4 linked regions of the Notamacropus eugenii genome follow. The protein of the gene in region 1 interacts with the protein of each later gene in a pairwise test. Links are inferred from orthologs where the notes say so. Each region holds a gene or a part of one and is shown in the gene's direction. Other genes may lie near its edges. The genes, in order: PRKAR1A, C5H2orf88, AKAP10 and AKAP1.

Region 1 (7,500 bases):
TCTTTTTAATCCTTTCACAGTAAAGGTGGTTTTAATTCTATTTTGTGCTCCACAAGGGCTTATTATATTTTAAACCTTGAGCTTCTTTGAGGCATGGTCTACAATAGTGGGAACACTAAACCAGATATACAAAGAAAGAATAATGCTCCCCTTTCTGTCCCCTTTCCCCTGCCCCTTCCCCCAACCCTGAGCCACACTGCTGCGTCATGAAGAGGTCTGACCCGATTCTTTTGCTCTTTTCTGCTGTCATTACGCACAGCTCTGTTGTTTCATTAGAACTGCTCAACCAAAACACCCGCTAGGACATTTGGTACTAGGGGAGTGATATATTTAAAAAAAAAAAAAAAAAAAAGATTGGAAGGGATGGCTTTCTCCTTGCTTTTATCTACTGTCTATAGGCAGCTGCAATGTGAGAAAAAGGCTTAGGGCTTTCGTTAGGGCTTTGTTAGGGCTACTGAAAACCACAGCCCTCTTGTCATATATTTCAGCTTCGCTGCCTCCCTGATCGTGGTAATACCCTCCACTCTTGGTTTCAAAAACTCCATATTCTCTTGGCTCTCTCCCACTTCTTTGTCTGATCAGTGTTTCATTCACTCACTCTTCTTCTTCCTGATAATCTCTTGTGGTGCTTATTAAGTCTTGTATTGACTTTTGCACATATTACTTCCAAAGCTCTATCTCTAGCCTTAACTTCTCTCTAAGGGTCTAGACCTGTATCTTTATTGTTTATACAGTTTCTTTGGCTTTCCCACTGGCATCTTCAACTTCACATGTCCAAAAGCAAGCCTGTCATATTTCTGCAAGAAGCTGATCCCTCATTTTATCTTGTTGTAGTTGTTGTTCATCTTTTGTTTTTGAAGAGGACCAATGACATCACAGGGGATATCTTGACTTTTTATGTGAATCAGATTTAAGTGAGGTAGAGTTGCACAGTCATCAGCCTTAGTCTCTCTTTCTGAGTCACCAGAGTCTAATTCTAAGACAAAAGTCAAGATGACTGGTGATGGCCCAGGTTGCAGTAGATGCCCTTGGTGTCTTTGATGCCTGATCAAGCTTTAAGTGCTTGGCAGTGCCTGCTTCAGCTACCTTCATGGTCCTTGGAACAAAATGTTCTCATCTGCCCATTCTGTCTGGGAAAGTCTTCACATGATAGAGGTAGTATTTCCAACAATAGAATTGCCATTTATTCAATCACTGATTTAAAAGCCTTGGGGTTATCTTTGACTCTTTCATCTCTCTCACACACAAATTCAATCAGTTGCAAAAATCTTATTTTTTTTCCTCCACAGCATCTTTCACATCCTTTCCCTGTTATACACTGATATAGGACATCCTCATTACCTGTATGGATTATTTACTTTTTCGCTTCTCTGATTCATCCTTCCCAGTATTGTCTTGCTCTATAACCATTCTACTATTGAGTGGGATGATTTTCAATATACTTTCTTTATTGGGGGTGTGTGTGTTGTGCAATCAAGGTTAAGTGACTTGCCCAGGGTCACACAGTGAGTGACTCCAGGATCAATACTCTATCCACTACACCACTTAACTTGCCCCTCAATATACTTTCATCTTCATTGGAAATTTATTTGAGATTTGAACCTTGATATCTATTTGCATGAAACTTGATTTATAATTTTTATTAATACTCAAGATAAATCACCCAGCACTTGCTACTTTCAGTTCCTCTCCTCTTTCTCCTTCCTGAAACCTCTGCAGGCTGGCTTCTGGCTTCTCACTTCATCACTCAAGTGAAACTGTTCTCTCCAGTTACCAGTGCTTGCTTAATTGCCAAATCTGATAGCCTTTTCTCAGTCTTCATCCTTCTCAACTTATCTGCTGCTTTTGACACTGTTTACCACCCTCTCCTCATAGATAACTCTCTCCCCTCTGGGTTTTCATCATACTATTATTCTCTCCTGGTTCTTATTCCACCTGCTTGACTAGTCTTTCTCTGTCTCCTTTATAGGCTCATCATCCACATCATATTCTCTAGCTGAGTGGCTTAATAAATGCTTCTTGAGTGATAGAAAACTGTTTCCCATAGGAATCATAAGATCATATAATTCAGGGAATTCTACAAGGGACCCTAAACTTCACCCAGGCCAATCTCTCATTCACATTAGGGAAGAAAAAACTAGGGTCCACAGATATGTAATGGTTTGCTGAAGATCACACAGTGGTGGCAGAGCCATCTTGAACCCACGTCCCCTCATTTCCAAATTTATTCTCTTTCCACTACATGCAAGTCATGGTAACATGTAATTTGAATGTTTCCTAAGGGAAGGCTGTGTTTGAAATCTGCAAAATTGGGGGTAATTTGAATATCTTTGGTTCCACGAGAGGCAAAACATTCAGCATGACTGAATAGTACAAACAGGATAGAATTTGTCTTAATTGCTCTCATTGGAAGTCTATGAGTTTGTCCTTGGTAAAAAACAATCTTAAATACAATGAGACCCAAGATATAGGCTTTTAGGGGCTTTGTTTCCTTTAATTTTATTTCTCAGCTTCACTGAGATTTCACTTACGTTTGCTAGATTTATTCAAGGAAATAGGGAAAGAAGCTTTGGATGAAGAACAGTAGACATTTGGACACTGAGGAATCTTACACTGAAAGCATAATATGGCAAAGATTACATATTGTGATATAAGAACATCCATTGAGAAATGTCATATATAATCCGGTATTCACCTATCTGGAGTTATCAAGGGGGAATTTATATAATTTATAAGCCATCATGACTTAAAAAAAATAAATCACCAGCTGCCTCAGTAAACCCCACCCAAATTCAGCTATATGCAGCTTCTCTTCCTGTTTTTTTTTTTCCCAACTCTCCAGTAAATATGGATTTGGCATTTGGAACAAAGCTAATACTATTGACAGAGAAAACAGTATGGTTCTTGCCCTTGGTTGGAATGGTGCCTATAGTGCAGATGGGTAGGAATAAAAACCTCATTCTTTATTGAGTAAGCAGCTGTCACTCAAATAACAGGAGAAAATGTTTAATATTCCCAATTTACTGTCTTTTCTCTGAGGCTGTCTCATCAAAATATTACATCAAAACCAAACATGGCACAGAGCCCACATGGTCCAAAAAGGGCATAACCTTGTAGCTTGGGTGACCCTTTAGCTTCACAGTATCCTGTTCCCTTCTTTTGCATGACAGCTGAGGGCATATTTATCAGTCCCTTCTTTCTTTGCTCTTAGGTGTGAAATCCTGTGTGAAAGAAGCTGTCTTTATCCTACCATTCCACTACACCAGGCATGCCACAGAGTAAATGTCACCTGTGATGTTCATCACAGAACACCCTTGGGAGAGAGACTTCCAGCTACAACCCTCTATAGCATTTTGCTATCTTTTCATTTGTTCAGTCTGCTTTTTTGCCTTTGACTGTGCTTGTCTTAGCTATCAGATATAAGAGGGACAATCATAAATCAAAAAAAATCCTTTGTTTATTTGTCTCTTTCCTGTTAGAACACTCATGGCTCATTCTTTTGGTTCTGCAGAAACACATGTGAAAAGAGAACAGAAGCATACAGCAAAATCTATGTGCCTACCAGTAAGATTTAATTAAAGTCTTAAAACAATCCTTCTGAAACAACTTCCCCATTTTTTCCCCTTGAAAGGAAGAATCAGATCAGTAAGAAATGATCAGAGGTATCATTTTGTCCTTGAATTTATTCCTGCCTGTCTCCCTCATTATTATAGTTTTGCAACCGAGCTTGGAGAGAAATTTCGACATGAAGTTGTGAGAGATGATTAGATTATGTGTTTTAAAAACAATCCAGTTTCTAGGATTCTGAAATAACGGTGAAGGTAGCTTTTTTGGTAAGATTTCTTTTTCTCCCTTTCTGTCTCCCTTTGTCAAAATTGATGACCTAAAGGGAGACTGACTGGTTTTTCCTTCAGTGCCACAGTCAAATGACATAATATGCTTTAGGGCAACATATAAATATGTGCTGGAAGCTTAGTATGTTTATTCTTTAAAATTTTTACTTAAGACTTATAATTTCCTTCATAATCTTGGCCCATCAGCTTGTGAGCATTCTCATTGAATCACAGATCCCAGGATGATGGACTCTCCTCTACAACAGGAGCAAGGAGTTCTCCTTTGTGTTCAAATCCAAGACTTAAATATGTTTTATTTCAGGACCCTGAGAGGTCTTAAATGCAGTATATGACAACCTGGAGGAAACTGGGCTACGAGAAAAAGGTGAGGCAATAAGGTGTCAGAGGAAAGAGCACCTATACTGGCGTCAAATCACCTACACTTGAAGCCCGACTCCCACGGCTGGAATTATGACCAAGCTATTTCGTCCCTAGGAAAGCAGTTTCAGTCTCCCGTCTTTATTTGAACTCAGTTTCCCCGTCTGAAAACTGATGGGGCTGGGCTAGATGGTGTTCTAATTGAGCCTCCCAGCCCATGCTGCCAAGAGGCTCCTGGGCAGGGAGCGGCCAGGTCGGGACGTGCCACCGCAGCTGCCAGACACTGCAGCATTGCCATGGCAGCAGGGCTTTGCCGCATCCACTGCCGCAGCCTCAGCCGCAGCCGCCCGGGGCCTCAGGAACAGCACGAAACCTTCCCCCCAGCCCCCCTCTCCAGCCCCACCCCGCACAGGGGCTGCAGAGAAAGAGGGCGCAGCTGCAGAGGCGCCTCCCCACCCCCTCCTCTCCGCCCACGTGAGGAGTCTGGGGCTAGGAAAGGGGGAGACAAGACCGACTAGTCAGAAGAGGCGGAGGAAAGGAGAGGAAGAGGACGAGGAAGGGAGTGCAGCAGAGGCGACAGGAGGAGCCCGACGAGAAGAGGTGGAGCTCGGGCAGACCGAGAGACAGGCGGACGGACGGAGAGGAAGAAGGAGACAGGGAGGAAAAGGGAGACCGAGGCAGACAGTCTAGCCTGAGGGACAGTCTGGACGCGTAGCGTCTAGAACGAGACCAAGAGAAAAAGAGAGAGGGAAAGAAAAACATATATATAAAAAGAGAAATAGAGAAAGCAAGAAAGGAGAGCCACAAGAAGAAAGATTGTGGACGAGCAGGTGAGAGGGTCGGGGGTCGGGAAGGACCCGAAAAAGAAGGGGGGAAGAGAGGAGGAACGGGGGAAGGCTGCAGAGTAGGACCAGAGGAGAAAGGGGCCAAGGCTAGAAGGGTCCCTGGGGAAGGGGGTGGGGTTCGACAGAGAGGGACTTTGAAGGGGGGAGGGGCGCTGGTTTCCCCTTTAAGGTTGCCTAGGGCAACCACCTTGACCAGACCGAGGCCCATTGACGTCAGTGATCTTGCTGTGATTGGTCGTGGCTGGTTAGTTTCCGGTGGGAGGGGGGAGCTTTCAGGCTGTCGAGAGCACCTGAGAACCGCCACAGTGGAGGGGGGCGACGCAAAACGTGTTCAAGACGGCTCCCAGCCGCCCACTCCTGGGACCTCTGAGCATGCGGTTGCCAGCACGTCGGTAAGTGGAGCGTGTCCGGGGTCCGGCCTCGGTCGCGCTTCGCTGCCGGGCCGATCCGTTTTGTTGCGGCTGGAGGGATCCAAGATGGCGCCTCGCGGAGCGCTCTGGGGAAGGGCCGCACCCACCCGTTCTTTCCCCTCCCCCTTCCCCGCCAGGCCTCCGGGGCTGCGCCCGCCCCCCGCCCTCGCTGCTGTATTCTGTAGCCCTCCGCCACCAGACGAGAAGCATTCACCTTCGGTTCCCTCCGCCTACAAATCGCACCCCTCCCTTTTCGGCTCGCGCGCGCCCTCCCCTGGCTCCGCCCATCCCCGAGCCCCCTCCTTCCTCGTTCCTGCGGTTCTCTGACCCCCACCTCCCGATGCTGAGAGAGAAGAGCATCCGAATCTGATCCAGTACAATAAAATATGTGAAAGTGGTCTGCGAGCTTTCAAATGCTATACATCTGATACCTTTCAGTGTGGTTGAGAGACTGAGGTGAGATATTGGTTAGGGGGCTTTGCAAACCTTCAAGCGATATATAAATGTTAACTATTATGGCTGTTATTATTGTTACAATCGTATGCTATTATTCTTATTACCCGTTCCTCTAACACAGATCCTAAACAAGTCTTTGTTAATGAAACTCCCCTGACGGCATTTTGTTTTAACTCCACCCCGCTTCTTGTCATCTAATGCACCTTCTTCTCCTTTTTCCCCCCATTGAGCAGTATTTCCCTCCTCTTCCTTTGTTCTTCACCTACCTCTAAACCGGGTTTACACATCTCTCTGCTCCTGCCTTCTCCCTTCCCCCCCCATCTCTCTTTTCCTCTACTGTTGTTGCCTGCCAGCTACTACTGGAATGGTAATTTGGCCTCCCCTTTTCATTCTTTTCCGGAGTCCCTGTGGGCGTAAATGAAATGAAATGCAGTATTCTGCTGTTCCTCAAAACTAAACCAAACCAAAAAACCCAAACTGATGCGTGGTTAAATGGCCCAGGTTACAGTCTTGATTCTCCTGCTACGGGCGTAGTCTTGAACAATTCTCTTGAATGTCTCTATCTCCCCTGCCCCACATGAAAGTAGGAACACATTTTTTCCTTTTGGGAGTAATTTATTCTCATCTGGAGTCGTAACAAAAGCACAGTTCGTTTTATACAGGAAAAATGGTAAGATCCCACAATAGTTACAACGTAGCTTTTGTGTAATGGCTACAAAATCATTAGTTTACTTCCATTGTAACGCTGTGCCCCTTCTCCCTCAGGCTTCTGTTTTTTAGCATCGGCTCAGCCTTTGGTAGGCTGCCTTCTTAATAGGTATTGTTCTGAACCAGAAAGATTTTGTCAAAATAAGATGTTAAATCTCTTATTTGACAGAAAACCATTTAAACTGAAGAGGTATTGCTGCTGAATTTCTGAATAAACGAAGTTTCGGACACAAGTAATACCCATATGAGCATGGCAAGCTGTAAAACAACCACCACCAAAACTTTAATTTTGTGCTATTATGGAAGATTCAAGAAGTTTGTCTTTAACATGAGAACTTCATTTCCAAGCAATATATCTTCAGCTTGGCAAGAACGTTTCTCTGTGTCAAAATGGAGGCTAACCCAAGCAGGAAAGCTGTTAACCCCACTAGGCAGTGCTCTAGACTGAGAATCACAAAGCAGGGATTGCTAACGGCTTGAAATGCAGTATCTAGAATAATTAGCCTTTTGGGGGAGCTTTTGTAGTTCTAGAGTCTTAAAAATAAATCTTTCCAATCAGGTGATGGCACATGTTTGGGTTATTCAGAGATTCAAGTGATTTCAGATTTTTTCTTCTCATTTTCTTGTGGTCTCTTGGTTCATTATTAGAGGCCTCAGTTTCCTTATCAGTAAAACAAAGGTGTTGGCCTTGATTACCTCTGAGTTCCCTTCTAATCCATGATCAGGTGTTTTAAAGCATTGTGCTGCTATTGTGATTTGACTCGGAAGAGTCAGGGTTGATATTTATAATTTAATGTGTTTTTATAGTGATAACTTTTGTCATATATACATGAAATGATTTCAGACTTTGAAAGGTAAAGGATCTAATTT
Region 2 (6,742 bases), on another chromosome or scaffold:
AGACCCTGAGGTTGCCAACCTGGGTGACTAGAAGAATGAGAGTATACCTTTGTAAAGAGGCATGGCCTTTGTGGGGAAAGATCATGCTCACAACCCATCCATGCCTGCTCACTCTGTCCCACCAAAATGGCAGGGATGGAGGGGGCTACTCACTGGCCACTGCTACAGCCACAGGGTGATCTTGGAGGGAGAGGGAAGGGGAAGCAGAGTGAGGGAGTATTGTGGGGTGATGGGTAGAGGCTGTGATACTGAAAATAAGCCCATGGTTGCCTATTGTGGGATGTCACTCATCATCCATTTGGTAGCTTCACAAACCCTTTGGAGTCATGAGGTTGGCCATCTACTTTGGATCACACTGTTCTCTACAGGCTACCCTTTCATAAACATAGCAGATATTTTTTTCTTTTCCAAGCTAAAAATTCCACATGCCTTCGATAGTCCAGGATGACAGCTTTTGATACATTTCTTTTGACAATATTTGAAGATAAGTAACACCTCAAGTTTTAACAGTAACTTCATTTTAAATTTGGAAAAAAATTATCTGTGTTTCTTTCAGAATAACTAGCTAAAAAAAGACTTTTTTCTATAGTAAACATGCCCAAAAGGGAATAATTTACTATAATTGAGTACAGTTAACATGTTTAGAGAAAGGATAAAGAGAATTTAGCAACTCCTGTGGCTCACTTTAAAAATCTGAAGTTAGAGCATTACACAAAGTGTGACCTTGTTAGGGATCAGTCATTACACAGACACACACAAACCTGTGCTTAGCTTATGGCATAGTGTCATAGGTTCTCTGCCAGCTTTTACCTTTGTGGTAAAAGTGAGTGGGAGTGGTAGATGAGAACTGGGAAGCCAACTGAGTTTTTCCCAACATACATTTTTAGAGCTCTCAGATTCTGAGTCATGACTTGGGTTGTAGGCAGTAGATTACCATTAAGTTTCTTTTCCTTGAATCTTTGCCCAAGATTTAGATATTCAGGAGAATATTGGAAAATTGAGAATGTTGTCAAATGAAATTAATTTACCGATCAGAATCTGAGTTGGAAGGGACCTTTGAGGTCTTCCATCCCAAGTGCCCTGAAACACAAATCCCCAGCATAAATCCTGAAGGTCAAGCCAGCCTCTACCTACAGGTCTCTCATGACATGGAACAGAAACTGCAGAACAGGAAATCTGGCCTCTTGGGGTGGCCCAATCCATTTTGTAGCAGTTTGAATTTTTCAGTTTTTCCTCCTCTTAAGCCCCTATCTGATTCTGCAGTGTTCACCCAGAGCTCCTGTTCTGCCCTCTGGTGCCATATAAACAACATAGTAATGATCTAGCGGAAAGTACACTAGATATGAACCTAGAAAATCCGGGTTCAGATTCCAGCTCTTCAGTTTCACCTCAGCCCATCCGCTTCCCCTCGGTTTCCTCATCTGTGAAATTTGAGGGCCAAATGTTGTGACCTCTAAAAAAAGACCTTTCCATATCCAAGTCCCAAGATTCTGATTCTCATCCCCTCCATCCTTGAAGATCCATGTACTGCCCTCCCCACTATCTGTCAGTCCTCTCTCCTGGGGACTGTCACTGAAGTATGAAAGCTCAGGAGAACAAAGGCATTAAATCAACCTCAAATATGAGAGAGGATTTTAGGCTACAGAAAGAGACAAGGATAACTCCGAGGAAGAAGGAGTCGCCAATGGGCTCCTTCCTTGGCCCTAGTCAGACCACACTTACAGTATTGCTCAGTTCTGCACAGCACACTTTTAAAGACGTCACTAAGCTAGAGAATGTCCAGACACATGGTAAAGGGCTTTGAGTTCATGCTGTCACATCCCGCATTATTATTTAGTGCCTCCTCTGGGTCAGGCTCTGGGTATACAAAAACACAAACGAAAGAGTCCATGTCCTCAAGGAGCTTCTAACTTATCCATATGAGGATTCATGAAAGAACAGAGGCCGGAGAAAGAGAAAACTTAAACTGAGGGAGGAGCTGGGGAGAAGGAAGACATGACAACTGTCTTCAAATATCTTCAAATACCTCTTAGAGGAGGGTGTAGACTTTTTTGTTTTTTGGTTTTTTTTGCCTCAGAGGGGAAAACTAGAAGCAAAGGGTAGAAGTGCAAATTTGGGCTTGAAGTAAGGAAAAAACTTCCCAAGACTTAGAGTTCTTCAGGCGTGAAGACCAGATGGCTGCTGAGGCTTTTTTTTTTCAAGTCTGAAATTCTACCTGCTAAACAAACATGAAAGATGGCACAGCTCATGGCAGTGGTTCTCCAACTTTTTGGTCTCAGAATACCTTTACAATCATAAAAACTACTGAGGACCCCAAAGGACCTTTTGTTTGTGTGAATTAAGTATCAATAGGTATCATATTAGAACTTCACTCAATATTTAAAACTAGTTATTAATTTTTAAAAATAATGACAAACCCATTACATTTTGATATAAATAACATTTTCATAGAAAACTATTTTTGTAAAAAAAAAATTAGTAAGAAGAGTACCCTTGTTTTATAATTTTTGCAAATTTCTCTGATATCTGGCTTAGTAGTGTACACATTCTCATATTCGTTAGGGGGGGCCAGATGACAAAGTGGATCGAGTGCTAGGTCTGGAGTCTCTAAGACCCAAGTTCAAATCCAGCCTCACACACTCATTAGATGTGTGACTTTGAGCAAACCATTTAATCTCTGCCTGCTTCAGTTTCCTCAAGTGTCATAGGGGAATAACAGCAGCACTTACTTTGCAAGGTTGTTGTGAGGACCAGATGAGATGGTATTTATAAAGCATTTAGCATGGGACTTGGCACATAGTAGGCATTATGTTAGGTATTATTACTATTTTTACATTCTCTTGCTATGTGTTGAGAAAATCTGACCCAATGCAGATACATAAATGGAAAAGAGAAGAATATTTTAATAAGCAAATGTTTTAGTAATATTATAAAAAATAGTTTTGACCTCAAAGACTCTGAAAAAGGTCTAAGGAACTACACTTTGAAAAGCACTGATTTAGTGAATGGAGAGCTATCTGGGAGTCAGAACCCTGGCTGATATGTGGTAGCTTCATGACTCTGGGCTAGTAAATTTACCTCTCAGTGCTCTAAGTGCTAAGACTATAGACAACTGAGTTGCTGATTTATATCTATTGATTCTGCTAAGCCAGCAGTTCCCTCCTCCAAATAGATCACAGGTCTGCACCTCCCCTCCAAAAATCTAAACTCCAAAACAACTACCAGTTGAACTGAATGCTGGGAAGAGGGGAATCTCTTACGTTTTCTCCACAAAATTATAAAAAAAATCCCCAAATATTATGTCAAAAGTAGCCAATGCTTGTTGTCTTTTAATACCTAGCTTGCATGAATACTGTGCTTTAAGGGTATGATCAGCAAAGAAAAACACCAAACATTTAACAGAAAAAAGCTGCATTTCTGCTAGTTGCAGACAAGGATAAAAGAGTTAATTTGGGGGTCTATAAATCAAGAACCTTCTTCCTTTTTCCCTCAATAGCATCAACAGCTTCCCACCAACTAAAAATCATCTAGTTTTGATTAATGAAAAAAGGAAAAACAAGAATTAACCCATAATTAAAGCTTAATCTTATCTTGACAGGTAACTTTAAAAAATTTTAATCCTAACGCTCAAGTGAATTTTTCTTCTATCTGCAAGATAAGTCATTTCTGTACTTTTTATCAACTCTTCATTGTAAAAGTAATAGGTTTTAGAGAACCAGATCATCCAGTATTCTGTAACCTCAAACTGCGCCCTTGCTCTTTTGACAGATAAACCATAAATGAGAAGAGTGGTGAAAGGAGGTATTGATTCCTGCTCATAGGAAGAAAAACGCTGGTTTATTGAGTATTCCAAAGATGCTGCTAAAGTAGCCTTGGACATCTCCCTCCTCCTCAGCCTGGTTCCTGATTACTATGGGCTGCATAAAGTCAAAGCAAACTTTCCCTTTTCCCAACACAATCTCAACTGAGAGGAGACATGACAGTGAGGAGAGATTTCTAACGGAAAAGCCGTCGATGATTTCTGTCAGAACAGAGGTTGTGAAGGATTCTTCCACCAGGGTGGTGGTGTTGGAGTATGCCCATCGTCTGTCCCAGGAAATCATGGATGAAGCGGTGAAGCAGTGGGCGGCCAACGACATCAGGTATGGGGACATCCCATACATTGAGAGTGAGGCAATGCCCTGAGGCTCCTGGCTCACTCTAGAATGAATGACTCCGTGAAACTATCTATAGGTTTAAACAGTGTACACTGGTGCTAGTTCAAATACAGAAGAAGGCAAAAACTGATGTGATTAAGTACCAAGAACTCCAGCTGTATGTAAAATGTCTTTGGTGTTGGTACCACAGTTGCTTTGATGGGAGAGTAGGTGCTTTAAAAATGAAACGTCTGTTGTGATCAGCACTAGAGGAAGAATGTTTTCTGCTCTGTTTGCCTTGGATCATAGCTTAAATGATGTAGCTTAAATGACCACGTGGGGTCCTGTGGCACCGATAACATTTAACTGGCTACTCTCCTACAGTCATGAGACAAGCCTATCACTCCATGCAGCATTGCCAAAGAATGAAAACTATCACTGTTCATGGCCATTGTTTTTTAACTATATGCTATTAGCTCCACTATCTAATGATACTTGACTGTTGGACAGGCAAAGATCATCAGTATGAAAGGAAAGGTTCCCATACAAACATCACATTTGGGGCTGGTTAGAGCAAAAATGCCCCCTTTCCCATTCATGGACAGCCTTTGTTTGCTCCAGAAATAGACAGCTAAAGAGAACCTATGTGCTTTTTATCATGAGAAAATAGTTTGTTTGCATTTTTGAAGAGGCCCTTAAGGTTTTCCCTTAATAAAACTTATCAAATACATTAAAGAAAAGCACTTATCAATTAACTTTTGAGTAGCAGGGTTAAACTACAATATTCCTTAGGATGCAGCCCTCCCACCCGCAATCATCAAATCACTCGCACTCCCCATGTATAAACCACTTATTTCAAATCCTAAGATGTTGGAAAACACCAAAGCTTAGGGTGATGGTCAATGCTAAAACTGAATGAGCAGGTGGTTATGGTCATACCACCCCCAGCTGGAAGGCACCGGTCTTGATGCTGAATTTGCAGTGAGTTTTCAACGTGGGCTGAGGCAGGCAGATTTTCCTCATCTTCACCCTAGAGTCCTGCCTAATTGCTGTTCTACCAGCTTCTGGTGAGTCTAGAAATCCAGGAAATTCCCAAAAGGATTATGGTTAGCTAGTGTAATGAATGAGATGTTAAGCCTTTAGAGCTTAAATCTTTAAACACAAACCAAAAAAACCCCCAAACCCATTAAGCTCTGTTTCCTCCTCACTGCTTTGCCTACAAAGCTAGCCTGGCTGTGTGCCAAGTGGGTCCAGTAATTTGTTTTAGAGAAGCTATGAATTTACCTTATGGGTTGTGTTTGATCATACCTGTCAGCATTAAATGAACATTGCTGCCCTTAAAAAAGCAGAGTATGGGGGACTTAGAGATGTAAACTGTAGTATCGTTTGCCTACACTGATGTATGTTTGGGTGCCTTGCAACTGTTTCCTTCTGTCACTTTCACAGACCTGGTTCTGAAAACTAAAATGCTGATGAGTGAGCACCTTATGGCAAAACCCTCGAAGACTTTTCCAAGGGAGCAGCTACCAAAAACTTAACAAGAAAACTTCAGAATGAATCATTTATTTGTAAGGTCATACCCATGGAGTCTAAGCTGAACCCAACTTCAGTGTTCACAGTACTAGCTTTTTAGCAAATTATTCCCTGTTCAGTTTCATGGGGATGAGGGAGGGCATGGATGGTCTCTTTAAAGCACACACTTTTCAGGACATTTGTTTAAAGCATTGTAATAAAAACTGGGTATGAATTATAGGACTAACTGTAGCGGAGTAGATAAGGGCCATGCTTTACTGCAACCTAGCACTGATATGAGCTACTGCAGATTTGCTGTTAGTGTTCCCACTGTCTCCATTTCCCTCATCCAAGTCTAAAGAGAAAGAAAGGGAGGATATAGCACGTAAATAAGGATACATGTATCCTGCACAGCAAAGCAGTCAGAAAAAAAAAGATACCTCTACTCACTTATTTCAAATACAAGAGAATCCTACCTAATGTATTTCTTTAAAAATAAGTGCTAAGTCACCTTTATTATTGATGTTATCTTGTGCATTAAGTCCAGTTGCATTTTGGACCCATGATCAATAAAAAGTATGCCACCTAGGCCCTTTTTTAAGGAGTGTATGATTCTTAACATTCCACTTTTCCTACTGTTACAACTACAATCCAGAGAAATGTAGATGATTCCTGTTCATGGAAGGAGCTGAGGTTTGTGGGTCCGATGCTAAATGGAAAGTCCCTCAGTTCAGCTGATAACATTTCCAATGTGGTAAATTCCTGGTGAAAAAGTTTAGAAAGTTTACATGTGCTTAAAGTCGGACCAAAACCTCAGAGTTACCGCTTTTAATTAATGTTATATCTGAAATCTAAAACACATTTAGTTTTTTACATCATCATCTCATTTTCCCACAATGCCCTTGAAGGCTTAAGAATGTCAAGCAATTGATAAAATTTGGTTTCCACTTCTAGTCTAAGGAATGGGTTAAAAAAACATATATATGTATGTGTGTATATGTATGTATGTATATACACACATACCCTATATATGCATACATGTATAGGTATTTATGTATACATAGATATATATGTAGCTTTGAGCATTGTGGCAA
Region 3 (7,648 bases), about 290 Mb from region 1:
CACATCCTTCCAGGGCTTCCTCCTCCTTACAGCCCTGTTTCTCCCAGCCCCAAGGCCTAGTTCCCTCCCCGCTGGCAAGGAGGTCCTGGTCTGCCCTTCCCTAGCCCCGCTGTTTTGGAGAGTGCCTCATTGTCCCTTCCCACCTGACATAGGCTAGGACTTCAGCTCCAAGGGGTATTTAGTGACCCAGAACAGAGAGGGCTTTTCCCTGCCGCACCCCCACTAAGGAAAACTGAAGGATCTCAACTCCCTAACCCCAGCACTCTCCTCTTTGCTGAAATTCTTCCCCCAACCCCTGATGGCAACTCATAGAATGTCAGAACTGGAAGGGGGACCTTATAAACCAGTCCTGACATCCAACCCTTTCATTTTACAGAGAAGGAAACTGAGGGCCAGGGTTTGTGACTTTCTTCAATGCTCCAGAGCCACTAGGGAACCTGAGGCAAGTCTCTTCATGTGAGTCTTGGCAAAGTCCTGTATTGCAGTGCTATGTGCCTGCATGGGATTCAGTGTGTTTACTCTTTCCTCCTTTCTTCTCTCCAACCTTCATAAAGTTGTAAGTGCAAACAAACAAGCTGTGTACACTGACCACAGAATGATCCTATTACCTTGGAAAAGTCAATTAAGCTCCTTGACTCAGTTTTCTTCTCTGTAAAATGGGGGGTGGAGGAGTGGGAGGATGAATTAGGTGACTCCTGAGGTCTCTTCAAGCTCTAGGTCTATGATAGTTGGCACTCAATACAAATCTGAGATACAGAGGAAAAAATTAATTTTAAAAATAAAATAAAAACTCCAAAACAAAAACTTGCCTGATCTTGGGGCTGGAGGATTATTTTACCACATGAAAGATGTTAAGTACCTCGGGAAAATTTGTGACCTCCTTGCCCCCCTCTCCCCCAATGTGGACAAAGAAAGTCTTATTTACTTACTACCTGTGTAATCTTGGGTAAATCACTTAACTTCTCCCACCTTCAGTTTCCTCATCTGTAAAAATGTGATAGATGGTCTCTCAGTTCCCTTCCAACTCAAGATCATTGAGTCTATAGATAAGGCACCATGCTAGGTGTCAGTGGATAGATACCAAGACTAATATGAAACAGTCCTTGCCTTGAAGGAGTTCACTTTCCAGGAAAAAGTAGGCAATAGACATTCCTCTACTTGAATGAATCTGGAGGCTAATCAATGAGCATACCTCTCCCTCAGAGGTGCATGCCCTCTCATCTTGCAATATTCTTCTCTATATCTTCCAATAAATCTCCCAGTTAAGACCTACCCAACATATTGGAGGGTTCCCAGGGATACAGATATGGATGATACGGAGAAGTTTGAGAAAGAAAGGAACTGGATCCCAGATACTCATGTGTGTGCTTCACTTACCCAAGGCAACCCAAATAAGAAAACACAGAGCCAAGATAATAGTGTGGAAGGGTGCCCCTAAGACTGGCCTCCTCTTCTTAAAGGAAATACTGAGAAAGAAGACAATTTCAGTCTAAAGTCCTTTCAGATTCACCTGATTGAAACAGCCTTATCAGTACTTAAATTCCAGAGGGGCAATAAATTGAAATTCTATGGGTTCATCCTTAAGATAGGTCTGACCAGTTTCTAAAGGGAAACCTAATCCAAATTCAGGAAAGAACCAGAACTTTCTGAAAATAAATTCCCCAGTACCTGCATTTCTCTTCCTCATCTCCCCCTCAGGTCTCAACTCAAGTCCCACCTAATGCAGGAAGTCTTTCCTAGTCCTCCTTAATCTGAATGTCTTCCCTTTAATGCCATTCCACACCCCCCCCCCAATTTACTGGGCATATATGTAGCTTTTACAGAGTTGTTCACATGTGGTATCCCCCATTGGTCTGGGAGTTCCATGAGGGCAGGGACTGTCTTTTGCCTCTCTGTGTATCCCTGGTTCTTAGCACAGTACCTGGCACCCAGTTGGTACTTAATAAATAATGCTTGTTGATTGACTGACAAAAATAGGAACATAAATATTTTTTGATTTATCCAGTCAATAAAAGTTCCTCTTTCTCTAATCTTGCATGGTTTAAATGGTTTCAGGAAAATTATTCTCTCATTATTTTATTAGTGATCCATTTAAGCAAATTAAAAAACAACAAATTGAACTTTGTATCTTCATTTTATCTCTGTGGAATTTTGTCTTTTTCACTCTTATTACAAAAATGGAAGTCAAAATGACTTGGAAAGAGAAATTTTAAATAAATGTGAGGTAGGGAAGACAGAATCCTTTTGGATCCTGTGTCCCTCTCCTCCCCTCTTCTCTATCTTTGTCTCTTCTCTCTTTCATACCCCCCAACTCTCCATCCCTCTCTCTCTTTCTCCTCTCTCAGTATCTCTTTCTCTCCCACCTCTCTCCTTCTTTCCCTCACCTCCTCTCTATCTCTCATCTATGTCTCTCTCTATCCCTCTCTCCTTCCTTTCCTCCCTCTCTCTGTCTTTCTCGCCTATCTCTGTCTGTCCTATATCTCTCCCTCTCTTTTTCTTTTCCTCCCTCTGTTTCTCTTCCTCTCCCCCTGACCCACTCCCACACTCCCACCTTTTACAGTGAACTAAATACAACCAGGAAAACAGCAAGACTTTATGCTTCATCTCCACACCCCATCCAGCCATCCAGGCAGGCTACTTCACCTGCTGTCAGAGATGCTGACCTGCATCCTCCACACCAGACCTAATACCTGGATTTATACACCATATGTTCTGGAATCTAGGCCCCAGATCCTGGGGAAGTCAGTCAGTCAGTCAATGATTATGGATACTCATTTTGGGAATTCCCAACCCATTTAGGTGACTGCAAACTTCACCCACTATATCTACTGGCTGACTTGCCACCAGACCATGCTTCAGCCATCCACCCAGGTCATCTTGTAAAATCAGAACCACTAACCTTGGCTCCAAGGAAGAGACAGGAGAAAGCACTTCTTTTTCTTCAAAGAGGAGGGGGAATGGGTTGAGTGTAGAACACTGCTTCTTATGTTAAACCTTTTCTATATGTTGGTTAGTTTTACTGAACTGTTTTTTCTTCTAAAAAAAAACCCTTATAAGGGTTCTAGGAATGTTAGAGGAGAGTCATACATTGGAAAATGTAGGTGACGTAAAAACAGAAGATTTCCATAATAGTCATTTTTTAAATGATGATATAAAGATGGTGCAGTTTCCACACTAAGACTTTTGGGATGCCCTTTAGTTTTGTACAGCAAAGACTTTCCCTATGACTTAGATCTCATTTCTCACCTGACTGAAACAGAACCTCCAGGCTCCTGGAACCTGGGCTCACCTCATCATCCTGTTAGATCCCATTAAGCTTACTTAGCATTTCACCTCATTACTAACTGGAAGGTGGGGTCATAAACTCCAAACATCCTTTCTTTCTTTCATCTTTCTTCTTTCTTCCTTTCTTTCTTTCTTTCTTTCTTTCTTTTTTCTTTCTCCCTCCCTCCTTCCCTCCCTCCCTCCTTCCCTCCCTCCTTCCTTCCTTTCTCCCTCCTTCCCTCCCTCCTTCCCTCCTTCCTTCCCTCCTTCCTTCCTTCCTTCCTTCCTTCCTTCCTTCCTTCCTTCCTTCCTTCCTTCCTTCCTTCCTTCCTTCCTTCCTTCCTTCCTTCCTTCCTTCCTTCCTTCCTTCCTTCCTGGCAATCAGGATTAAATGACTTGCTGAGGATCACACAGCTAGTAAATGTCTGAGGCCAGATTTGAACTTGGGTCCTCCTGACTCCAGGGTGACAGAACATTTCTCACCTGGCAGGACCATTTTGGGACTTCTATGCCTTCTTTACCATCTGGTACATTCTCCTCCTCTTCCCCTTTCTTCCCCTATTAGATGGTAAGTTCCTTGAGGGAAGGGGCTGCTTTTCTTTTTTTGTACTTGTATTCTCAGTGCTTAGCACAGTGCCTGTACATAGCAGGCACTTAATAAATGTTTATTGATTGATTGGGGAATGTCTACCAGTGCTATCACTGGTTCCAAGGGCACCCACAATTCACTGAATTATTTTTAGTATAATTCCAAATTGTTGTAATGTTCCCAGCTCCACCGATAACGGAGTCCTGCCGCGTGCGTGCAAACTGCATCCTTGACCTTCATGCCAGCGCCTGGCACCCAGTAGGTTGCCCACCTTGTTAGCTGGTGCCTTTGGCTTTTCAGGGTTTTATTATTGTAGTGCTAACTATTAATTAATTAGCTATACTGTATCCTCTTTGGAAGTTTTAGGTACAAAGCCCCCAAGGAGTAGGAGCAGCACGTTGTCAGAGGTTCTTGACTTTTTGGGGTGTCCTAGACCCCTTGGGCAATCAGAGGAATCTTTTTAAATGCATTAAATAAGATACAGAGGATTACAAAGGGGACCTATTATCTTCAAATACAGTTGTCAAAATATTTTTTAAAAGCACGGTGAATAATCCCTGACATTAGAGAAAAGCTGCCAAGAAGAGAGCCTCTGGCTGGGAGAACCAGGTCAAAGCAGAAGAGCCCCGCCTATGGGGCGGGGCAGGGAGGGGGAGGAGGAAACGCCCCGCCCCCGACCCGCGGAGCTTGAGGCTCCCCGGCGGATCACGTGTGCTGAGAGGGCTGCGGAGCCGAGGGGGCGGAGCTCTGGCGGGGAGGGGGTGGGGAAGCGTTCGCCTCCCGTGATGCCCCGCGCCGGGAAGGGGCCGGAACTCCGGGGCGGGCGGCTTGTTGACAACATGGCGGCTGCGGTGGCGGCTGTGGCGGCCGCCCGGGCGGCGGGAGGCGCCGGCGGCGCCGGCGGCGCCGGGAGGAAGGAGCCTCTCTCGGGTTAGTTGGGCAGGCCTCTGCGGGAGCCGCCGGCGCTCGCTCCGGCGGGGGGACCGGTCACTGAATGAGGGGAGCCGGGGCTGCCCCGCGCGAGTCCCCCCGCGCCCTCCGCCCCGACCCGGGCCCCGCCATGGCCTTCTTCCGGCGGAAAGGTAGGCGACGGGGCCGGGGCGGGGAGCGGGGCCGGGCTCCGGGCTCCGGGCTCCCGGCTCCGGGAGCGGGGCCGGACTCCCGCGCAGTTCTGCGCCGGGCCGGGCTCGGGAGCGCGCGCGGGCCCCCCGCCGCGCTGACCCCGGCCTTGCACTTGACCCTTGGAGCCGCCTGGGCCCCTAGAACTTGGAGGACTCCCCGAGGGGCGCCCATCCTGCCCTTCCCTGTCCCGGGGAGGAAGCTGAGGGCAGGCCGCCCGCCCAAGGTCGCCCCGGGGTGCCTGGCTCTTGGTCCCGGAGCCCGTGGCGTTGGCCCGTGGGTGCGCTCGGAGACAGACCACGAGTGACCTTCGCGCAGCGCCCGGCACGTAGTAGGCGCCTCCTCGGCGCTTCTTGGCCTCGGCTCCGGCCCCCGAGTGCCCCGGAGGCACCCAGGGAAGCCGAGCTTCGGATACCGAACTTTGTTACAAGTCACTTTAGAGGAGGCTGGACTCGGGGTCTGGGGCCCAGCGAGGTCCGGGATGAACGCTCCCCTGGGGGGAGAAGCCGACCTGCTTGGCCCAGGAGGGCTCCTCCTCCCACGGCCCAGCGAGAGCCCGGCTCCGGTCCCCGCCATCCCCATGAGCGGACCACTAGAATGAACCGCTGGAGACCCACCTCCCCCTTCGGTAGTATTTTTCTATCAAGTCCTTGTTCTTGTTCAGAAATAAAGGATTTCTCCTAATCTCCTAAAGTAAGTTTTTGCTTCAGCGGTTAGCGGATGCAGTGATGGTGTGAGTGACAAAGTTATACTAGCCTAGGAATGCTAAAAATAACGCATCTATGCCCCTCCGCCTTTCGGTCCTGTGAGGTAGGTAGTGTCAGTCTTTTACGAATGAATGAAGAGGTTGGTCACCCTAACAGCGAGCCATTTAAATGTAATAAGGAAGCTGGATAACCCATTAAAAAAATTATTCACCTAACCCAGTTTCTTTGTCCTCTTCCTTATCCAGTCATTTGCACAGTCTTACCAGTTCTGTCACCATAGCTTGTCTCACTTCTGTCCCCTTGTCTCCAGAGCCATCCCCTTGGTTAAGACCCTCTTTATCTCTCACCTGAAACTATTGCAACAGGCTACAGATTGAACCCTTGACTTTTCTTTTCTTTCCTCCAATCCATTCTCTGCACAGCTGCTAAAGTAATCTTCCAGAAAACACAGGTTTGGCCATATAATCCTTCTGTTTGAAAATCTCCAGTGGTTTCCTGTTACCTCAAGGATACAACACAAACTCATTAGCTTGGCATTTACGACCTATCACCATCTGGCCCCAACCTACTTTTCCAGGGTTATTTGACATTATCCCCTTCTCAAGCTGAGTTCCAGCCAATGGCCAACTTACTGTTCCTTGAATTTAGCATTCCCTGTTCTTCCTTCTGCTTTTGCGCTGGTTATTCCCCAAAAGCACAGGGTTGGAAGGCACCGATCACTCACTACCTCTGCTGGGAAGCCATTGGCTATGTCTGTAATTGTTAATTTCTCTCCACATCCTTGGTGAAGTGTAAACTCTGCCTGTGTATAGAGACTGCTTTTTGCTTTGATTCTGTATCCCTAAAACCTAGCATAGTGCTTTATTGGAGACATGAATAAATACACATAGTAGTAGTAAAAATGAGATACAACTTTGGTGAGCTGTGTGCTGGGTACACTTTCTTATTGTGGAAATATCCTTTTCCCCAAAAGTTTGCAATATGTGCAAATTCATTTAGCTGCCTTTATTAGCAACAGTCCCAATGCCTTAATGTTTGTAGAGGGTTTTTTATCCTTTTTCAAAATGCTTGAAGTGTTTCCATTTAACTGAGATGGCAGATCAGAAATTAGAATCCAGATGACTGTTAATTTAGCCATCTTTCTATGTCAGCAGTTATTGTTTAATGCCTTTTTTTAGGCAAAGCCATGTTAAATGTATATTTTGAAAGGAAGTTGTCAGCATCCTTAAATATGGTAATTGTTCATAACTGAAGCAAAGATGACAAAATGTGTTCAAAGAGAAATGTTCTGTGAAGTTGTTTTTTTTCCCTCAAGCCTTGTTTCGTGTCATAGAAAATAGGCAGATCTTGTGCTCACAAGTGAAAAGATGGAAATACTGAGGTTTCTTGTGTGGTGTATTATTGTTGCTTAGAATTAACATGAAGCAGTTAAAATGAGTTTAAAATTTGTTTTATCATTTAAAATTGAATTCATTTCTTTTATTTATTTTTTTACTCTTGATGAAGCCCAGCGTACTCTTTGGACTTAAGGCAGTATTTTTTTTTTCTAACAAAATAGTTTATTTGCGTTGTCTTTCTTTTCATTCTCCATCTGTATACTTATAACTTATTTTTAGAAGGTTTTTTAAAAATGTGTTCTTAGTATGGTATGTGTGTTCTAATTCTGCTGTTATCACTTCACTTGGTTACAAGGCTTTCTACATTTCTTAGTTGTCATTTTTTATTTGTACTAGTACTGAGTTACAGTTATATCCTACTGCAGGTTACTCCGACATTCCCAGATGAGTTAGGTCATTTTTAGTTTTTGCTATTATTAAGCTGCCATGGATATTTTTGTGCAGATAGGTCTTATTTATCTTTTAATAACATCCTAGAACTATATCATTAGTGTTGGGGTCTCTGGATCAAAGGATTGTGAGTCTACAAAGTTTTTATTTGAGGTGCTAGTTGCAGTTAAATGTGGGTAATG
Region 4 (7,837 bases), about 37 Mb from region 1:
CCCATGAGCCCACCCCCAGCTGCTCACAACTAATATGTTTCATTTCATGATTATCAGTTGATATCAACTAGCCAACTAGACTTAGCTTTTATTTTTTTATTTTTCAATTTAATTTAAATTTAAACTTATGAACATACATCTTTGTTTTTTTAAATTAAATTATTTTATTTGTTTTCAGTGTTCTACAATCACTTCCATATATCTTAGATTTTTTTCCCCCTCCCCCACCTTTCCCCCTCCTTTCCCACTCTCTCCCTGAGACAGCATACAATTTTATATAGGTTCTACACATACATTCCTATTAAATACATTTTCACCTTAGTCATGTTGCATAGAAGAATTAAAATGAATTGGAGAAACCATAAAACAAAACATAATACAAAAGAAAATGATCTGCTTCATTCTGCGATCGAATTTCATAATTCTTTCTCTGAATGTGGAAGGCATTTTGCCTCAAGAGTCCATTGGGAATTTTTTAAGTCCTTCAATTGCTATGAAGTACTAAGTCTACCAGAAAAATTCCTCGAACACTGTGATTGTTGCTGTGTACAAAGTTCTCCTGGTTTTAATTAGCTTTTAGAAAGGGGCATTTTACCATAGTGATATTGTTGGTACAAAATACTCCCCTAAAAATCTGTACCACATTCTCCCACAAGTACATAGCAAGAGGGCCCTAGCTGCAAGTGGGCTCACGTTATTGAGAATGTATGGTGATGGGGTAACTCACCGCTCCTGAAATTTGTTTTTTTTATAGTAATCCTCAAGATGTCTCCATTAGGTATGGTGCAGTCCTTCTGCTGAATTCCTTGTAGACCTCTGAATCTGCCTTTCCTCAGCCTGGTCCAGTGATGCTGATAAGAGGTCTAGGAAATCCCAGATCCTCCAGACCCTTCAAAGTTGACATGGTCTTCCTCTTTGCAAAGATGGGAGGGGAAGGAGTATGAGACCAAGGACCAAGTAAGCCTTATTTTTCTCTTCTTCTCCCCACCATGCCAGGCAATTCTTTCTGAAGGGCTATCTATCTATCTATCTATCTATCTATCTATCTATCTATCTATCTATCTATCTATCATCTATTTCACCCTAAGTTACCAGGAGTTGAATCCAAGCTGGCTGGATGTTTTTTAAATGACCCTCATGATACAAATAAGTTATCTTAACCAATTGTAAAAAGACTTGCTATGCACAATTATTCCAGTTCATTCAATGATTTTCAAGAACTTCTACAATGATCAAAGATTTTTTCATACTTCACCTAAAGCCTATGATCGATTGGTTAAAGTCTAGACCTAGGTCATGCCTAATTTTACCCCTTGAATTCACTAATTGTCCTTTCCTGACAGAGTTGAGAACACTCTGGGTGTAGCACCTTGTAACTTATTTGAGTGGGGTGGCATGATTGGATTGAATTGAGTCAATTGATCTCCACTCTTACACTTAATTGTTGACCTGGGCAATAGTTGTAGGTCCAAGAGTCCCTTCCAGGCCACTTGAGCTGAGGCAGAGTGGAAATAGCTTCCTTGAAAATGAGGACAGTGGGTCCTAGAGCAGGCTTGTAGAGCATGTAGGATTTTGGGGGGCCAGTGAAAAATATACGGTTACCACTACACCTTCTCTGCTGCTTATCACATGACCCAAAGCAATCAACCATCACCAGTCTGTCTCTAGTCTAACCCATCTGCTGCCCAAAGACAGAGTGGAGAGTCAAGTGGTTTAGCTCCTCCCTAGTATGGCTTCTGGTGGTCCTGTTTGGAGAGTGAAAAATGTCAAGGGTAAAGATGACAAAGACTTAAGCAAGTAGAAATAATTGATAACTAATATCATGTTCTCCTGTGAGGTTGATACCTAAAGCAATGAGGGACCATTTTATGGGTCTGATGGATGTGTATTCCACCTTTGGCTCAGTTCTGCACTGTCTTCCTCCAGGTCAACATCTTCTGGCAAGCTAGATCAGAAGTCAAATTCCTTTTTCTGTTGGCCATCCTTCTGTTTTGAATCAGCTTCAACTAGGGGCCCCAGGAGATCCTGACTTCTTAAACCCATGAGGCTGCCTTTAAGATTAGTCAGAGCTATTGCAGGATCAATATTCAGTCATTGATGCTTAGAGGCAGAACATAGAACAGATGAGGCAGCCAGGGGCACAAGGCCCAGTCTTAGGCTCAGGCTCCCCTAGACGGGACACATATTCTGTGCTCTGCTCTAGAAGCTGCCATGCTGCCAGGCCCCAGGTGGGGGTGGATGGGCGTCTCTTCTACCTCTCACCAGAAATCTGAGTTACTCCTTTTAAAGCCTTCTTTATGAATGGCTCTTCTTATCTCAATAGCCAATCCTCTAACGCATTCTCTCCAATTCACAACCCTCACCCTAGATGGGGAGTGAGAAAACAAGGTTTCCAACGAAGAGACCACTGAGGGTTTTTCTATGTCATCAGAAAGCAGCAAGTCCTTCATACTTACCTACATGGTGTCCCTACAAGTTGCCAGGAGAACTCAGCATTATGCCTCATGATGAGTACTCCAATCTAACCCCTGATATATAAGTATTTCACCATTCCACTCCTTGGGTTTAGTTCACCCTTTTGTCCAACCCATTTGTATTATCTCTACCCTATGTGGTCATTTTCCAGTATTTTATTTATAGCTTTAGTATGTGTATATAATATTTCATCTATGACATATAAATATAATACATAATAAACATAAATATTTATACATAGTATATATATATGCTTTTAAAAAGCAAGCCTTCTAGATCTCTTCTACATTAAAAAAACTACATTTACAATTTAACAGACATTTGTCCCTGACCTACAGAATACCCCCAACTTTACAAACACTAATTAAACATCAATTCTTCCTCCTAATGGAGGTTTTTATTATTATGATCCACATAATTTGTGGGGACAAAGGCCCATCACTGATGAGAATCTGGTAGCAGAATATAATCCATTGTATGGTACACAGCAGAAATTTACCAACTCTACAGACCTACTGTCATTAAAAATCCTGGAGACAGGCGTCTTTTTGTATCAAAAAGTTATAGAAGTGTTAAGAAGTCTAACACACATGTAGGAGTGGACAGGGGAGGATGCAATTAAACCCCAAAAATCCTTTGATGAATTTTAACCAAGCCTAATACACATTTGCATTTAATAAAAGCCTGGTTTGAAAGAATTATTTAAAATGTCAATTTTAATGATGTGTTTTAAAAATAATTCTTCTCTAGTGACTTCTCACAGAACTCTCTGTGAGACAAGCTAGTTGGTCTCAGTGTGGAACAGACCAGACAAGGGCTGGGGAACCTTCAGCCTCTAGGTGATCAAGCGCAGCCCTTTGACTTAATCCAAACTTCACAGAATAAATCCCCACAAGGATTTGTTCTGTAAAACTTGGACTCAGTCAAGAGGCTGCACCCAAGGATCTAGGAGGCCATATGTGGCCTCGAGGCCCCAGGTTCCCCACCCTTGGATCAGAGACTCTTCCACGGGGGAAGTCAGCCTTCAGAGTGAGAAGGTGTCTCCAGGTCCAATCCCTCCCTCCAGGCCCTCCTGGGACAGTCGCGGAGCCTGTTTCCTAGGCAGCCAAGGAGCCAGCAGTGCCTACCTCCCCTCTGGTGAGCCTCTTTGCTCATGAATCATAATCCCACAATTAGGACAACTGGTGGAGCACGTTTCATCTTCACCTTGATGGCTTTGTTCAAATGGCAAGGAACCCTTTATCTTGGGTTTTAGGTACCAGCGATCCGCAGGGACACAGCCTTTCGCCGTCCCATCGGAGGCACATGTGGGCTGGGGGGCGCTCCCCAGGAACTTTTATTTTTTTAATAGCCTGAGTGCTAATGCTAATGTCTCCAGCTGGTCCTGTACCTAGCTACTGTGCTATGGTGGTTTGGCCATCATCTCTCCCGTTACAACGCCAGCGCCCTGACAGCAAGGACTGGGGTTTTCTGCCTTTCTTTGTATCCCTAGCACATTGCACTGTGTTTGGCACGAAGTGGGCACTCAGTGCTTGAGTCCTCCCTACGGCAGAAAAGCTTTGTTAGAGTTGGAGGGGACCTTTCAGAGGAGACGAGTGAGGTCCAGAAAGGGAAGGCGACTTGTCTAAGGTCACTCTGCAAGGTGGTGGCTGAGCTGAGACTACTGTCCAAGGTCACAGAAGGAGGAAGGGAAGGCTCACGCCGGGGTCACCCCCTACACCGCCTCCCTAACACTTAGGTCCAGACTCGTACAGAGTTTGGGCTCCCAGGTCTGAGCCAGAGAAGATGGAACACACGGTCAACTCTCCGCAGAGGAGAGGGACAAGCAAATTAAGGAGCGAGGGATGCTGAGTGCGCGTGCGCAGCGGGGAAAGGCACTGTTGGGGGAGCAGAGGAGCCAAAGGACGGGAAAGATGGATCATTGGGCCACGCGTGCGCAGGAGGAGAAGGCGGGGTTGTAAGGAGTTGGGTGGGGGCGGGGGAGAAAGGAGGGAGGGAGGACGGGAGCGTGGAACCCGTGCGTGCGTAAGTGAATGAAGGCAGGGCGGTAGGTGGAGGGCAGGGAAGCATGGAATTGCGCGTGCGTGAAGGAGAGGCAGCAAGGAGTTGGGTGTGGGCGGGGCGGAGAAGGTGGAGCAGTGCGCGTGCGTAGTGTCTTAGAGGCGGAGCCGAGGGTAAACCGCGAGGAGCTGGGAGGCGGAGCGGAGGAGGGGGGCGGGGTTTCTCAGCGCGTGCACGTTGTCGGCGCGCGCCTTCACTATTTAAAGTCTCAGAGTTCCCCTAGCCAGGCTGAGCACGTGGGGGAGCGGCCCGAGCCGAACCGAGTCGCTGGGCCGAGGCGGAGAAGGGGGCGGCGGCGGGGTCGGGGGTGGGCGGGGGCAGCGGTAGCTGCACGTGAACTGACTGCTCCTGGGGGGGCGATCGCCTAAGAGCTCGTAAGTGTGGGTGATCGGGGTGGGGGGGGGAGATCTCCCCGCCTCTGCCCCGGCTGGGTTGGGAGGCAGCGGTCGGCGGGCGTTTGGCCCCGGGCTCTCCTCTTCACTTCCACGCCTGTCCTGTCTTCCCGGCTCGTGGGGACAGCTGAGAGGTGCGGGGGAAGCCCGGGGCGGAGCAGCGACCCCTCCTTGCCCTCGTTCTCCCAGCCATGTGTGTCCGCACCTTCCCCAGCGCCGCCGTCCTCGGCCGGTCCTGGGCTGGTGCTTCCCTCTAACTTCTCCTTCTGGCCGCTCCTCCCTCCCTGCCCGGCTGCCCGCGCCGCGCGCTCCGCTTCGAGAAAGCCGCCGAGCTGAGCGTGTCCCACCCAAGGTCGCCCGGCTCCGCGTGCGTTTACTTTCCAAAGGTCGTGTGTACCCAGCCCGAGCGGGCAGAGGGGGCCTTGGGATAGAACCGGATGCCAAGGGCGCAGCCCTGGCGTGGGGTGGGGCCGGGGGTGGGGTCCGAGGACTGGCTCTCCCGCCCCCCTCCTTGCCCACCCAGCTCCTAGAGATACTAGCCTTGAACAGCAACTGAAGAAAAATGTCATCCGCCCTTAGGCCCCGGTCCCGTTCCCGGTCCCGTCCCAGGTCCGAGTGAGGCAGGTGGTAACCGAGAGCCAGGCCCCTTGATAGCTTAACTGATGTGGCTTTGCTCCGTGGTAGACGTTAGCGGAGAAGTATTTTGCCAAATCGACCGTGTGAGCCCGGGGATGAGTGCTGAGGAACGAGGAGAAAAACCCTTCTTGGCTAGTGTTTGGGGAGAGGAAGCAATGGGACGTGATGGAGACTCCAAAGCAGGAGTTGTCACGCCTAGAGAAAAGCTGGTGGAGTTCCGTGCTTCGTGGGAGAGGCCCCCGGGGTGGTTGTTGGACGAATGTTACCGAGCAGAGGGGATTCCCCCAGGACCTGCGGCAGCGACCTGGGTGCTGGGTCTCTTGGGGGGGCGCACGCACCTGTTTGCAATCACAGCTTAAAACAAAGCTAGAGAGAAGGTGCTTGGGCAGGACTCGACTCAGCCTCAGGACAGAGGGGGCGGGCGCTGAGTTGGGCCAGCCTTTCTTTTCTCTCTAGTGGCTCTCAGCGCTATTGGACGGCAGCTGGCAGAAAGTGCATGAGACTAACGGGTTTTTGTTTTGTGTTTTTGGCCCTGTGCTGTTCATTGAGTCTACGGGAAGTGCCTGAAGGTTATGTAACTGAGATCCAGTTGTTTTTTCCTTTCCCCTTCTTTAGGAAAACTTATTCCACCCTCACTTTCCTGGGGGCAGAATTGGGAAGTGGAGGTGAACGACAAGCAGAAGGTGTGTAAACTGGGGGCAAGGTCAGGTGTCAAAATAGAAACAGGCTGACATTTTGATCCTAGTTCTGGTAGCAGATGCCCTTTCCAGCAGGTTCCCACTTTCCCCATCTGCTGTTACCGATAACTAGTTGTCTTTGCTCTAAGTGAAGGTAGAAACACCTAAAGAGAAACCTTTTAAGTTGGTATAGTGTGAATTTTTTTTTTAAAAGAGGCTAGTTTAACTATTGTCCTCTAACTTAAGCACAGACTACTTGGTATTTGAGTATTTCTACGAAGTGAAACCAATCTCAGCTGAAACGACTTTGTACAGCCTGCACAATCTTCTCCCTCTCCTCTCCTCCCCTCCCCGCGCGAGTTTTAATCACCAATGAGGGAAGGGTTCTTTGTTAACACAATTTAAATAAACATAAATCATGTAGGAATCATAAATTGAGGTACCTATAATCTATAATAGGAACTAAATCCAAAACTTGTTGGCCCTTCCATTGTTTTATAGCCCATGTTATGTGTAGAAAACAAAGCTTTGGCTGGCTAGAAGTGAACTGTTCTTAATACTTAAATGATACTTTGTACTGTTTTTTTAAAAACAAAAACAATAAAAACCCTGTAGTATCACTTGGTATTACCTGATTGTCTTCATTTGGATTCACTCTGCCTGTTAGCAGTAAAGTGGAGTTTCTTTCCTGTTCACCTCGGAAGAGATCTCAGCCCTTTCTCTTTTCAAAGCACGTGTAGCAGTAAAAGGATCAGAATTTAAGAATCCCTCAAAGAACCAAACTAACATTTAACACTGCAGTTTTTTAAATCCCTAAGGCAAAATAGGATAATAATTTTTATTCCAAATAAAATAACATGTGCTTTTAATTATTTGTGTTTAAAGGGCAAGTAAATGAGATTGTGTTTTTATAAGGGCTTTATCTCTTCCTAGTTATGTGACTGAAGTGTAAGTGCTAGGGTGAGATTCTTTAGTTGAACTCCCTCTTTTTTCTTTTCTTTTTTTTTTTTTAACCAGGTCAATTAACAAGCATTTATTAAGTCCCATTCTATGTGCTCTTTGCTGGGTAAACTGCTGGGCATAAAAATACAGGACTGAAAAGAACCTGGGGCAAAGAGAACTGAAGAAAACAAATATTTTTAAAGTGCTTACTATGTTAGATATTGGAGATTAAAAGGAGGAAAAGATACCAGCTTTCCAAAAATTACTGCCTATGGGGAAGACAATGTATGTATGTACCTGTGTTCAGAATAAATGTAAGATAGTTGGGAGGGGACACAGTTGCACAGAGTATTAAGTAGCGTAGCCTGGATTGGAAGCCACTTTTCAGTCCAATGTACGTGGCTCTTTGCAGTGGAAAAGAGAACTTGTTTGGATTATGGTGATAAAATAAGGAGCGCCAACTGTAAGACTCCCTTGACACCCTGCTAGGTATATGGAGATCAGTTGAAGGGACTAGAATTCCAAGGGTTATTCTTACATTAGATGATACTCCAGAAATTGTAGATAATTGACTTGAGTGAGTTTGGCAGTAGTTAAATGCTTACTTAATTCTCCCCTCTCTCCCCCATTTATCAAACGCTCCTACCCACAAGA

What was found.
Region 2: the proteins of PRKAR1A (region 1) and C5H2orf88 interact in binary tests that used the Homo sapiens proteins (3 or more experiments, as listed by UniProt). The two-hybrid records come from large-scale screens. The link is inferred for Notamacropus eugenii from reciprocal best matches to the Homo sapiens genes PRKAR1A and AKAP19.
Region 3: the proteins of PRKAR1A (region 1) and AKAP10 interact in a two-hybrid assay, tested with the Homo sapiens proteins (3 studies listed by BioGRID and IntAct). The link is inferred for Notamacropus eugenii from reciprocal best matches to the Homo sapiens genes PRKAR1A and AKAP10.
Region 4: the proteins of PRKAR1A (region 1) and AKAP1 interact in a two-hybrid assay, tested with the Homo sapiens proteins (2 studies listed by BioGRID and IntAct). The link is inferred for Notamacropus eugenii from reciprocal best matches to the Homo sapiens genes PRKAR1A and AKAP1.

What each region holds. Positions count from the first base shown.
Region 1 is NC_092873.1:331,704,178-331,711,677, forward strand, and holds the start of PRKAR1A (cAMP-dependent protein kinase type I-alpha regulatory subunit), read left to right. Parts: upstream 1-4,489; 5' UTR 4,490-5,041; exon of another isoform or gene 5,042-5,448; intron 5,449-5,542; exon of another isoform or gene 5,543-5,922; intron 5,923-7,500. UniProt on the Homo sapiens protein: Regulatory subunit of the cAMP-dependent protein kinases involved in cAMP signaling in cells.
Region 2 is NC_092876.1:257,520,215-257,526,956, forward strand, and holds C5H2orf88 (small membrane A-kinase anchor protein), read left to right. Parts: upstream 1-3,912; coding exon 3,913-4,185; 3' UTR 4,186-6,237; downstream 6,238-6,742.
Region 3 is NC_092873.1:41,114,900-41,122,547, forward strand, and holds the start of AKAP10 (A-kinase anchor protein 10, mitochondrial), read left to right. Parts: upstream 1-4,630; 5' UTR 4,631-4,638; coding exon 4,639-4,783; exon of another isoform or gene 4,784-4,935; intron 4,936-7,648. UniProt on the Homo sapiens protein: Differentially targeted protein that binds to type I and II regulatory subunits of protein kinase A and anchors them to the mitochondria or the plasma membrane.
Region 4 is NC_092873.1:369,175,799-369,183,635, forward strand, and holds the start of AKAP1 (A-kinase anchor protein 1, mitochondrial), read left to right. Parts: upstream 1-4,826; 5' UTR 4,827-4,910; intron 4,911-6,179; exon of another isoform or gene 6,180-6,247; intron 6,248-7,837.